Linked DNA regions of Macaca mulatta. The protein of the gene in region 3 purifies or fractionates together with the protein of the main gene of each other region. This does not show direct contact. Links are inferred from orthologs where the notes say so. Each region holds a gene or a part of one and is shown on either strand. Other genes may lie near its edges. The genes, in order: DHX30, ADAR and EIF2AK2.

Region 1 (3,747 bases), on a different chromosome or scaffold from region 3:
CACACACACAAACTGGAGATCAAGACAATGCAAGGCTCTTCCTAAAATAAGACACACACAAGAGAGACCTGGCCCCATGTATCTCAAGTGATGAGATCCAGATGCTGAATACCAGGCCCCAGCTCTCAACCATATCTAAGCACACTGCAAAAGGCTCCCACAGAACCAAACTATGTGGGGGGACTGATTAAAGACCTCTACATCTGGCTGGGCGCAGTGGCTCACACCTGTAATCCCAACACTTTGGGAGGCCAAGGCACACGGATCACGAGGTCGGGAGTTCGAGACCAGCAGCCTGGCCAACATAGTGAAACCTCGTGAAACCTTGTCTCTACTAAAAATAAAAAAAAATTAGCCAGGCCTGGTGGCAGGCACCTGTAGTCCCAGCTACTTGGGAGGCTGAAGCAAGAGAATCGCTTGAACCCGGGAGGCAGAGGTTGTGGTGAGGCAAGATCACGCCACTGCACTCCAGCCTGGGCAACAAGAGTGAAACTCCATCTCAAAAAAAGAAAAAAGAAAACCTCTATATCTGAGCAGGCATGAACTATTCCTCCCCCAAGTTCTCTGGAGTCAAGGGGAAAATTGATGCATCAGATACCATCAGAGGTACCTTGCTTCTTTTCACTTGTTTTTTGGATTAATCCCAGAGCAGAAAGGGAAGAGATATCTACCTGGAGTAAGCTTGTACCAGACACAAGGCTTAACCAGGTCATGAAGAGGTCTGCTAGGAATATGGGGGGACCATATCATTCTCCACTGTAGCCTCAGGCAGCTCCAAAAGGAGATGTAGATATGCACATGTGCACCTGGGTGTACACTGATCACCTGGGGAGCTTTTTCACTGCATGGGCATCCAGCTCCCCACAGGGGACCAGAGAATGGGAGCGATGTTGGAGGCGGCTCTACATTTTGAAAAAGTGCCTCCAAGCATTCTGATGTAACTCTGCTGCCTGGTTTGAGATTATTTCCTTGGGACAGACTCCTGTGTCAAGTGGCCAGGATGGAGGACACCTGATCCTGTCTCCCTCTAAGCGGTAACTTGTAAAGCAACTAAGAGTCAAGCAGTTAAGAAACCACATGTAAGTGGATTTGGGCGGGGCGGGGATGGGGGGGTTGGTCACAGAGGGGCCCAACTTTGAGTAGCCCACTACACCCACTGGTTTAACAAGAGAGCTGCACTGAGACCCCCCACCCCCCCACGCCCACTTCAGCTCTATAAGGTTGGTGAAGGCTGGCACTCTCTACCTATCCTTGATGCTTTCAACAGTTTTATTCTCTGCACTATTTGGGAGGCACAAAGCTGGAATCCACCAGAGCGGTCGTTCTGTCTCTATTTGAGATCCTGATGTCCCAGGAGTTATTTTGGGCTATTTCTCACACTGGTGAGGGCATGCTTGTCCCTAGAAGCTCTAGCCCTTGGCCACTCATCCTGGCAGGAGTTGGACTTTACTCGTTTTCCCCACTCCCTCGAGGTCTCGAACCTCTCACCTATTCTTGCTGGGAGCAGGCACTCGAAGGGTCCATTCGGGCCTGTGCCACGCTAAGCTTTACAAAGAGCAGGGCCGCTGCGCGCCGACGGATGGCGAACTTGGCCACTATGGAAGACAGGACCCCCCGCCGCCAGGCCCGATTTCGGCCCGCGTCCCTTGCTCTGCCATCCCAGGAGTCAAGGGCTCTGCGGACCGCCCGCCCCCGCCGATGCCCTCACCGTTCACCATGCTTCCGTCGCCTTCCCCAGGCCCGCCGGGGGCCATCCCTGACTCGGCCTCGGCGGCCTCCTTGGTGCGGTCGGGGTGGGCGCAGCCTGATGAGAAGCAGCGCGAGCGACCCTGTCGCCCGGCAGCGCGGGGACCCAGCGGCCGCAGGCGCGGAGAGACGCCGGCGGCCAGCGCCATGAGTCTCCTGGCAGCCGCCATCGTGTTCCCGCCGACCCCGCGGCCTACGCGCGGCAGGGACCGGGCGAAGAGAACTGGAGCGGCCGGTCCGAGCGCCGCGCGCCCCCTGCGGGCCGGGCGGACCCGAGGCCCGAGCCCAGGCGAGGGCATCGGCAGCCCGCCCTCGCTCACCACAGCCCCGGGCCTTCAGTAGGCGGCTCGGCGCGGCCCAGGGCTAGGACCCTGCCAAGCTCACTCTCCAGCAAATCCAAACCAGCTGTCATGTGGATGGGAGGCAGGAAGATGGAATGGGGCTTTTGGGGGGGAAATAATGCTAATCCTTAGCTCAATGTCATCTAAGGAAGTTTCAGTTAGTTCCCTCTAGGTCCTAGCAATTGTTCCTAACTACCGCTCACGTGCCTCTGGTAAATTGGCAGCCCCATCTTATTTAATGGCTTACAAAGTAAACCTGGTAAAGATCTGGAGCCAGGGCCGGGTGTGGTGGCTCACGCCTGTAATCCCAACCCTTTGGGAGATTGAGGCGGGTGGATCCCTTGAGCCCAGGATTTTGACCAGCCTGGGCAGCATAGTGAAACCCCAACTCGGCCGGGCGCGGTGGCTCAAGCCTGTAATCCCAGCACTTTGGGAGGCCGAGACGGGCGGATCACGAGGTCAGGAGATCGAGACCATCCTGGCTAACATGGTGAAACCCCGTCTCTACTAAAAAATACAAAAAACTAGCTGGGCGAGGTGGCGGGCGCCCGTAGTCCCAGCTACTCGGGAGGCTGAGGCAGGAGAATGGCGTAAACCCGGGAGGCGGAGCTTGCAGTGAGCTGAGATCCGGCCACTGCACTCCAGCCTGGGCGACAGAGCGAGACTCCGTCTCAAAAAAAATAAAATAAAATAAAATAAAATAAAAAGAAACCCCAACTCTATTAAAAGTTTAAAAAATGAAAAAGAAGATCTGGAGCCAGGCCAAGGAAGACCTCTTCAACATAAGCAGAAACATTTAATCCCCAGAGCTGGAGGGGAAGGCAAAAATACCCAATTTTGGACACTGCCAAGAATTGAGTTGGTCCAGCGTAAAGTCCAGCAGTCAAAGTACTGTTCCTCACCAGGCGCAGTGGCTCACGCCTGTAATCCCAGCACTTTGGGAGACGGAGGTGGGCAGATCATGAGATCAGGAGATCGATACCAGCCTGACCAACATGGTGAAACTCCATCTCTACTAAAAATACAAAATTAGCTGGGCATGGTGGCGCATGCCTGTAGTCCAGGCTACTCGGGAGGCTGAGGCAGGAGAACTGCTTGAACCCGGAAGGTGGAGGTTGTAGTGAGCCAAGAGCAAGCCATTGCACTCCAGCCTGGGCAACAAAAGTGAAACTCTGTCTCAAAAAAAAAAAAAAAGGCCAAACACGGTGGCTCACACCTGTAATCCCAGCACTTTGGGAGGCCGAGGTAGGAGGATCACGAGGTCAGGAGATTGAGACCATCCTGGCTAACACGATGAAACCCCATCTCTATTAAAAATTTAAAAAAATTAGCCAGGCATAGTGGCGGGCACCTGTAGTCCCAGCTACTCAGGAGGCTGAGGCAGGAGAATGGTGTGAACCTGGGAGGTGGAGCTTGCAGTGATCACGCCACTGCACTCCAGCCTGGGCAACAGAGTGAGACTCTGTCTCAAAAAAAAAAAAAAAAGTACTGGTCCTCACTTGCTGGAAAGCCAAATAGGATTTCATTTCCAAAATATTCTGCCTGGATCTTAGCCAGGTTCATTCCTCTTCTGCCTCCTATGGCCGTGAAGAGCAAGGCTTTGGGTCAACTGGGAATCAGACTGAATCTGCATGTTGCGGGTAGTGACAGTGCAGAGCCA
Region 2 (3,647 bases), on a different chromosome or scaffold from region 3:
TGGAGTGCAGTGGTGCAATCTCAGCTCACTGCTACCTCTGCCTCCTGGGTTCAAGTGATTCTCCTATCTCAGACTCCTGAGTAGCTAGGACTACAGGCACGTGCCACCACGCCTGGCTAATTTTTGTATTTTTAGTAGAGACAGGGTATCACCATGTTGGCCAGGTTGGTCTCAAACTCCTGACGTCGTGATATGCCTGCTTCGGCCTCCCAAAGTGCTGGGATTACAGGCATGAGCCACCGCATACGGCCAAAACCAATCATTTCTGAAGAAGCTTCATTACAGTCAACAGAGTCAACCTCCCCCTTGTTCAGCCAAGATTCTGGCTGGTCCAAGGTCTATATTCCCTGCTCAACATCTGCAGAAAGGGCCAATCAAGGGGGATTTAGCTAAAAGGCAGAAGGGAAGGAGGAAAAGATAGGAGCCACCAAATGGCACTGCTCACAAACTAGCCAAGACTGCGTCAGGAGCAAGAGCACCTGACCCCAACCCTAGGTACAGTCCTGGGTGGTCTCTTACCGAGGTTCATGGGGTGGTCCACTCTGCTCTATCATGTTGAACTCACAGGTTTGACTAGCGAACTGGGCATATTCTAACAGCCCGCTGATGGGGTTCTTCAGCTGGCACTCTGTCAGTTTCTTGTAGGGTGAACACCGTGGCAAGCCATGACTGTAGAAGGAGGGCATCTCCATGATGGCTCGAAACTCACCTGGTGCTGCGCGGATACTATTCAAGTCATCTGGGATGTCATCTGTGGCCCACTGGCCATTTTCAAAGTCAACATACCCTGCTTTTGAGGGGCCATTGTTATGAACAGGTGGTTTCAGTCTTACTGGTTCTGGTCTTGCCTCCTGACTGTTTTCTAACTTTATGACAGGTTCCTGCCCATTCTCCACTTTTTCGGTGGTTACTATGTTATTTGAGGCATTTGATGTGGGTATATTACAGGTGAGGAACTCTGTGTTTCTTTTGGTCTCAGGGATTGCAGCTGGAGCGGTTTCAGGAACACTGTTCGTATTTCTCTTGATTTGCATCCTCTCTCGCTTCTTGTCTGTCAAATGCCATATGGGAGGGGTTGTCCCTTGTCTATAGACATCCCCCTGCCTTTCCATGTCAATTAGCACGGCATTTATATCTCGGGCCTTGGTGAGGCCAATATTTTTAGCCAAATTCAGGGCAGAGGAGTCAGACACATTGAAGAGATAGTCGCAGATTTTCTCCTTGATCTCAGCCATGTCAAAAAACTCAAGAGGATCTTCCAAGGCAGATGTGGAGTTTCTGTCTTCAGGTTCCAAACTCGACTCTGAGTTTGGGGCTCCTTGGCTATGACCGTCTGGTCTTACCACTCCGCTGTGCTGGTTCCAAGCCTGAGCTGAGACTGAGATAAAAGGCTCAAGATCTTCTGAGACAGATGTGGAGTTTCTGTCTTCAGGTTCCAAATTTGGGTCTGAGTTTGGGGCTCCTTGGCTATGACCGTCTGGTCTTACCACTCTGCTGTGCTGGTTCCAAGCCTGAGTGGAGACCGCGATTTTCCACAAAGGGGGTGTTCCTGCCTCTTTCTGTAGCTTGCCCTTCTTTGCCAGGGAGTATAAAACTCGATTGATTTCTTTCTTTGGAGCCCCCAGTTTCCAAGACAGATCATGTGCTGTAGTGGCCTTCCCTTCCCCAAGCTCTTCCAAGAACTTTAAGATCCTTTGTTCCTGATCTTGGTTGATACTCAGTTCCTGGAATTGTGAGGAAAGGCAATCAACACCTCTCCGTGGCGGAATCCTGCCACGTGGTGAAGGATGCTGGAACCCTCTCTGGAGCCCCTGACTTCCGAGATGCACGCACCTGGGGACACCCCTGATATCCACTTGCCTGCCTCTGGTACTAGAGGCAGGTAGTACTGGAAACCTTGGCTGGAGTCCTGGGAGGGAAGGTGGCAGTGATGGTGTCTGCTTTCCAATCACCGGCGCTTCTGGGATCTGCCCCTTGAGAAACTCTATTTGCTTAAGCAGGAAACTATTGGGGGAAGATCCTGGCCCAGGCTGCTGGTATCTGAGCTTTCTGTGCTCATAGCCTTGAAATGGATGGGGGTAGTATCCGTTGAGGGAATACCCCTGCAGAATAAGACAGCAGAAAAGAAAATGAATTAGGGCTGCAGTGGTGAACCTGTGGAGGCCCCTCCCTTTGCTGCCTGTGGAACAGCCCTTGATGGGCTGAGAAGGCAATTGAGCCATGGGCTTATGACTCAGCTAGGGTGACTTGCCTACCTCCTAAAACCTGCCTAGGGGCCTGCCAACAGGAAGACGGAGAGGGGGGCAGGAAGCAAAGCCCGCAGAGCTTCCAGGAGCACAGAGGTTCTGAGGCCTCAGCATAGCCTCTCCAGCAACCTAACTTACTTTTCCCTTTGATGGAATTTAAGGGAGTTGAGAAGGAAATTTTCTAGTCAAAACAATTACCCTTTTAAAATTAGAACAACAAACAAATGTTATTTTGTTTTGAAAACAAAAACAGAAACCTGAAATAACCAGTACAATCACATGAAATAACCAAGGGAGAGGGGACTAGGGAAGGGACGAGATGACCTCTCCTTGAGTTGGGCTCACTAGCGCACAGCTAGTGCACCTCCGCCCACCTGTCTCTAAGATCTATCATTTGGATGACTATGACAAAAGAATAAATCTGATTGGATCAAACTGAACCCCAGTCCTCCAAGGCTGTAACAGTGCAGTAACAAAAACAACCTCCAGGTGGGAAAAGGCCACGGGACCTGAGAGTCATCTCTGTGGCTCTCCACTGCCATCCCGGGAGGATCAGAATTCCATTTTCAGGGAGCTGGAGGGTTTCCTGATAAAAATGGCACACTGTCCTCACTCTTCAGTGTGGTACCCAGGCTCAGAAGGGATGCCAGAGACTTTTGCCCAAACCACCCAGGCTCTCCTGGATGTGTGGAGCTGGCAGCATCTGCTCCTCACCACCTCAGACCAGCCCTCCTTCCCTAGCTACCTCCCCATAGCTGCTTCCACCGCATGTTCTTCTGAACCCTGACGGACAGGGCATAAGCAACTCCATGTTCTCATCTGCACATTTACCACAACACCGAGCACCTGTGACCCCTTTCCCCACCCACCCACCTGCAAACCAGTACTGTCTTCTCCCCAGGGCTGTTCATTGGAGGGTGATGGAGCCAAGAAGTACTTACAAGCCTGGGGGTGTCAGTAAATACCTTGCTTCCTGTCCCTGGGGCTTGCAGACTGGGAGAAGAGATTCTGGCAACATTTGCTCACACTCACCACCCCCTCCTCAGACTCTCCTGAAGGCTGCACAGGTAGAGCTGGGACCCTTTCTTGCATAACTCTAGCCTTCTACTCTTCCACATCCTGACACACTTAGGGGATTTTAGCATTCTTGTCAATCACTCTCACGGTGCCCTGGCTACAGGGATCCTTAACCCAGTAATCTCCATCTCTACCTTTCTGCCACACAATTGGCTTGTCTAGCTACTCCTTCAATCTCACTATGACTGTAACCTAGGCCATCACACCAAGACCTCAAATCCTGCAACTCTTTTACAGTGGCTGACAAACTTTTTCTATAAAGGGCCAGATAGCTCTGCCACTGTAGCGCAAAAACAGCCTCACACAATAACCAAACCTTTATTT
Region 3 (3,747 bases):
ATAATGTTCTTTTTTTTTTTTTTTTTGAGATGGAGTCTCACTCTGTAGCCCAGGCTGGAGTGCAGTGGCACGATCTCAGCTCACTGCAACCTCTGCCTCCCAGGTTCAAACAATTCTCCCTGCCTCAGCCTCCGGAGTAGCTGGGATTACGGGTGCCCGCCACCACGCCTGGCTAATTTTTGTGTATTTTAGTAGAGATGGGGTTTTGCCATGTTGGCCAGGCTGGTCTTGAACTCCTGACCTTAGGTGATCTGCCCCCCCTCGGTCTCCCAAATTTCTGGGATTACAGGCATGAGCCACTGCACCGGCCTAGGCATAATATTTAAAGTATATTTGAGGTCTGTCTTGGGACCACCTCCCTCTCTTATCCCAGCTAAGATATTGAGAGTACAGACTCCTGGTTATAGTTCTAACTCCGCTGCTTACTAGTTGTGTTAATCTAACTCCTCTGTGCCTCAATACTCATTAGTCACTGTGCCAATGACTGTGGAACTCTGTGTGACTCTGGGAGTGTGTCACAGTCCATCAGGTGAGTAGAATTTCTATAAATCGAGGACTACTGGTGTTGGACTATAGTAGGAAACTCCCTGGGGTACTGTAGGGAGCAGGTGGCTCTCTTTAACAGCAGGACTGGCCCGCAGGTGCTTTTACAGCGGCTGACAAGTGTCTGCTCATGAGTGAATGGATGGGTGGGAGCAGAGTGAAGGAGATTACGCCCCCAGGCCTCGCATCCCCAGCCTTGTAAAAGTGAGGGGGCAGTGGTGTGGCAAGTGGGGAGGGGCGCTTTGGTGTTTACAGGCCTGGACTTTAACTGAATCCTGGCTTTCCCACTTACGAGCCGCTGGACCCCTAGGTAAGTTCATTTACTCAATTTCCTCTATTGTAAAATGGAGCTGCTAAGACCCATCTTCCCAACCCCTCTCCAAATATTTGTGTTTAGAGTAAGTGGAACCCTTGATTCCAGAACCTAATGCAGCCAAAGCCACCTGCTCCAGGAGCCCCGGGGCGGGGAGGGGGAGGCGGTTGGGGGTGCGGGGTCCTGGCCGCGCAGGGGCTGCACATGGGTGACAAGCCCGCCCGCCAGTGCCGGCCGCCGGCGCCTCTCGCGCGCACTCTGGATCCAGTGCCAATTTACCCCAATCCCGTAGCAGACGAGGGCTTGTGCGAGAGGGGGCCGGGCGGCTGCAGGGAAGGCGGAGTCCGAGGGGAAAACGAAACTGAGAGTCAGCTCTCCCGAAGCTGCGGATCTCTGGCCGGCGGCGGCGGCGGCGGCGCAGGTGAGCGGGGCCGGGGGCAGCCGAGGGAGCGCAGGGAGCAGGGGCCGGGGGGCCACGGGATAGGGGCTGCGGGCCCAGCCGGGGCGGGACCCGCCGATCCTGCGTCCCCAGCTCAGGACGCGGAAGCTGATCCGAAGCCCCTGGCCCCGGCTGGGTCAGCAATGGGAGAGCAGTCCGAGGCCCACAGCCCGGGTGTGGGGCCCTCCCTGAATCCAGGGAAAGGATCGTGGAGCGGGATGGGGACTGAAAGCCATTTTCTTCCCGCGAAGAATTTTTATCAGTGCAAGTAACAAATAAATAGTAACAAATAACAAATAAACAATAAACAAATAAATAAATAGTAACAAATAAATAGGCAGCGGTTGTGGGGCTGGGTCTAGTGGATGATGAATAGGCCTAGTGGCTTGACATATGGAAAATACGGAGGCCTGAAATACTCATAGACTGGCTGAACAATCTCTGGCTAAAAATCTCTTGCATGGAGAGTTGCAGTAGTTTCCCAATTGCCTGGCCTCGGTTCCTGTTCCCACTCCGTCTCCTTACCCCCGAACCTCCACCCCCTACCTCTTCTACACACCTCAGCAACTGGAATGTTCCTTTAAGTAAGAACCAGACTCTGCCCTGCTCAGACCTTCCCCATAGCTTTCCTGTCTCGTCAGAATCCTATAAACATTTATTAAGGCTCACCGGCAAGGTCCCTTGCACCCCCTACTCCGCCCATGCTAGCTTCCTTGCTGTTCCTGGCGCACAGCCAAGCATCCTCCAGCCTCTAGGCCTTTACACTGGCCTGTTTCTTCTTCCTGGAAAGCTTCTCCCTCAGATACTTGCATGGGGAAACCCCTCCCTTATCCTACACTGCTTCCCATGCCAGCTTATCAGAGCAGACTTCCTCAAACAACCTGCATATGCAAGAAACCCCACTCTGCCCTTGCTGTTCCCCCTTCCACTACCTCAATTTTCAACATAGTAGTTACCACCTGGTGATATCTTTTCTTTTCTTTTTTCTTTTCTTTTCTTTTTTTTTTCTTTCTTTTTCTTTTCTTTTTTTTTTTTTTGAGACAGATTCTCACTCTGTTGCCAGGCTGGAGTGCAGTGGTGCGATCTTGGCTCACTGCAACCTCCGCCTCCCGGGTTCAAGCGATTCTCTTGCCTCAGCCTCCCGAGTAGCTGGGATTACAGGTGCCCACCACCACAGCCAGCTAATTTTTTAATTTTTAGTAGCAACGGGGTTTCACCATATTGGCCAGGCTGGTCTCAAACTCCTGACCTTGTGATCCCCCACCTCAGCCTCCCAAAATGCTGGGATTATAGGCATGAGGCACTGCGCCCGGCCACCCGGTGACATTTTCTTATGGGTTGTTCCTCCACTGGTAATTTCACAATTACCTATAGCAGGGTTCACTAGTATAGTCCCAGCACCTAGTACATAATAGGTGCTGATTAAATGTTTGCTAAATGAATGGTAATTCAAAAACTCCCTTTTGAATTCCAAAATAATGAGGCGTCCTGTTGCCCATGTTTCCTTCTTTCCTTCCTTCCTTCCCTCCCTCCCTCCTTTCTTTTCTTTTTCCTCTTCTCTTCCTTCCTTGTTTCCTTGTTTCCCTCTCTCTCTCTCCCTTCTTTGTTCTTTTCTTTCTCCTTTCAAGATGGAGTCTCACTCTGTCGCCCAGGCTGGAGTATAGTAGCTTGATCTCGGCTCACTGCAACTTCTGCCTCCAGGGTTCCAGTGATTCTCCTGCCTCAGCCTCCTGAGTAGCTGGGATTACAGGCACACACTACCACACCAAGCTGATTTTTATATTTTTAGTATATTTCATCATGTTGGCCAGGCTGGTCTCGAACTCCTGATGTCAGGTGATCCACCTGCCTCGGCCTCCCAAAGTGCTGGGATTACAGGCATGAGGATTACATGGTCCCATGTTTTCTTTAGTACTAAAAATGCCATGCCAGATGGAAGGTAAAAGACAGGCTCTCTGATGTCACTTGGAAATTTAGAATCTTGGGCAGATTATGCTATTGTTTTTCAGTTTGTTTATTTGAACCTGGAGATCCTGAATACTTGACCTGTAGTTTGTTTGTTTGTTTGTTTGTTTATTTATTTTAGATGGAGTCTTGCTCTGTTGCCCAGGCTGGAGTGCAGTGGTGCAGTCTCAGCTCACTGCAACTCTGCCTCCAGGGTTCAAGTGATTCTCCTACCTCAGCCACCTGGGTAGCTGGGATTACAGGCATGCACCACCATGCCCAGCTAATTTTTGTATTTTTAGTAGAGACGGGGTTTCCCCATGTTGGCCAGGTGACCCACCCACCTCGGCCTCCCAAAGTGCTGGGATTACAGATGTGAGCCACCGCCCCCCACCGTTTATTCATTTATTAATCAGATGCTAGTTGAAGGAATGATCTATGTGAAGCAATGTGCTGGCCCTGGAGGGGACTAAGCCTGCAGGGCGACTATAGTCGCTGGAAGGGAGTG

Evidence for each region.
Region 1: the proteins of EIF2AK2 (region 3) and DHX30 purify together in Homo sapiens (affinity purification with mass spectrometry; 3 studies listed by BioGRID and IntAct, with this or other methods). This does not show direct contact. The link is inferred for Macaca mulatta from reciprocal best matches to the Homo sapiens genes EIF2AK2 and DHX30.
Region 2: the proteins of EIF2AK2 (region 3) and ADAR purify together in Homo sapiens (affinity purification with mass spectrometry; 3 studies listed by BioGRID and IntAct, with this or other methods). This does not show direct contact. The link is inferred for Macaca mulatta from reciprocal best matches to the Homo sapiens genes EIF2AK2 and ADAR.

What each region holds. Positions count from the first base shown.
Region 1 is NC_133407.1:111,200,855-111,204,601, reverse strand, and holds the start of DHX30 (ATP-dependent RNA helicase DHX30), read right to left. Parts: upstream 2,233-3,747; 5' UTR 2,046-2,232; coding exon 1,709-2,045; exon of another isoform or gene 1,489-1,708; intron 1-1,488.
Region 2 is NC_133406.1:112,399,012-112,402,658, reverse strand, and holds part of ADAR (double-stranded RNA-specific adenosine deaminase), read right to left. Parts: intron 2,103-3,647; coding exon 520-2,102; intron 1-519. UniProt on the Homo sapiens protein: Catalyzes the hydrolytic deamination of adenosine to inosine in double-stranded RNA (dsRNA) referred to as A-to-I RNA editing.
Region 3 is NC_133418.1:87,783,439-87,787,185, forward strand, and holds the start of EIF2AK2 (interferon-induced, double-stranded RNA-activated protein kinase), read left to right. Parts: upstream 1-1,216; 5' UTR 1,217-1,277; intron 1,278-3,747.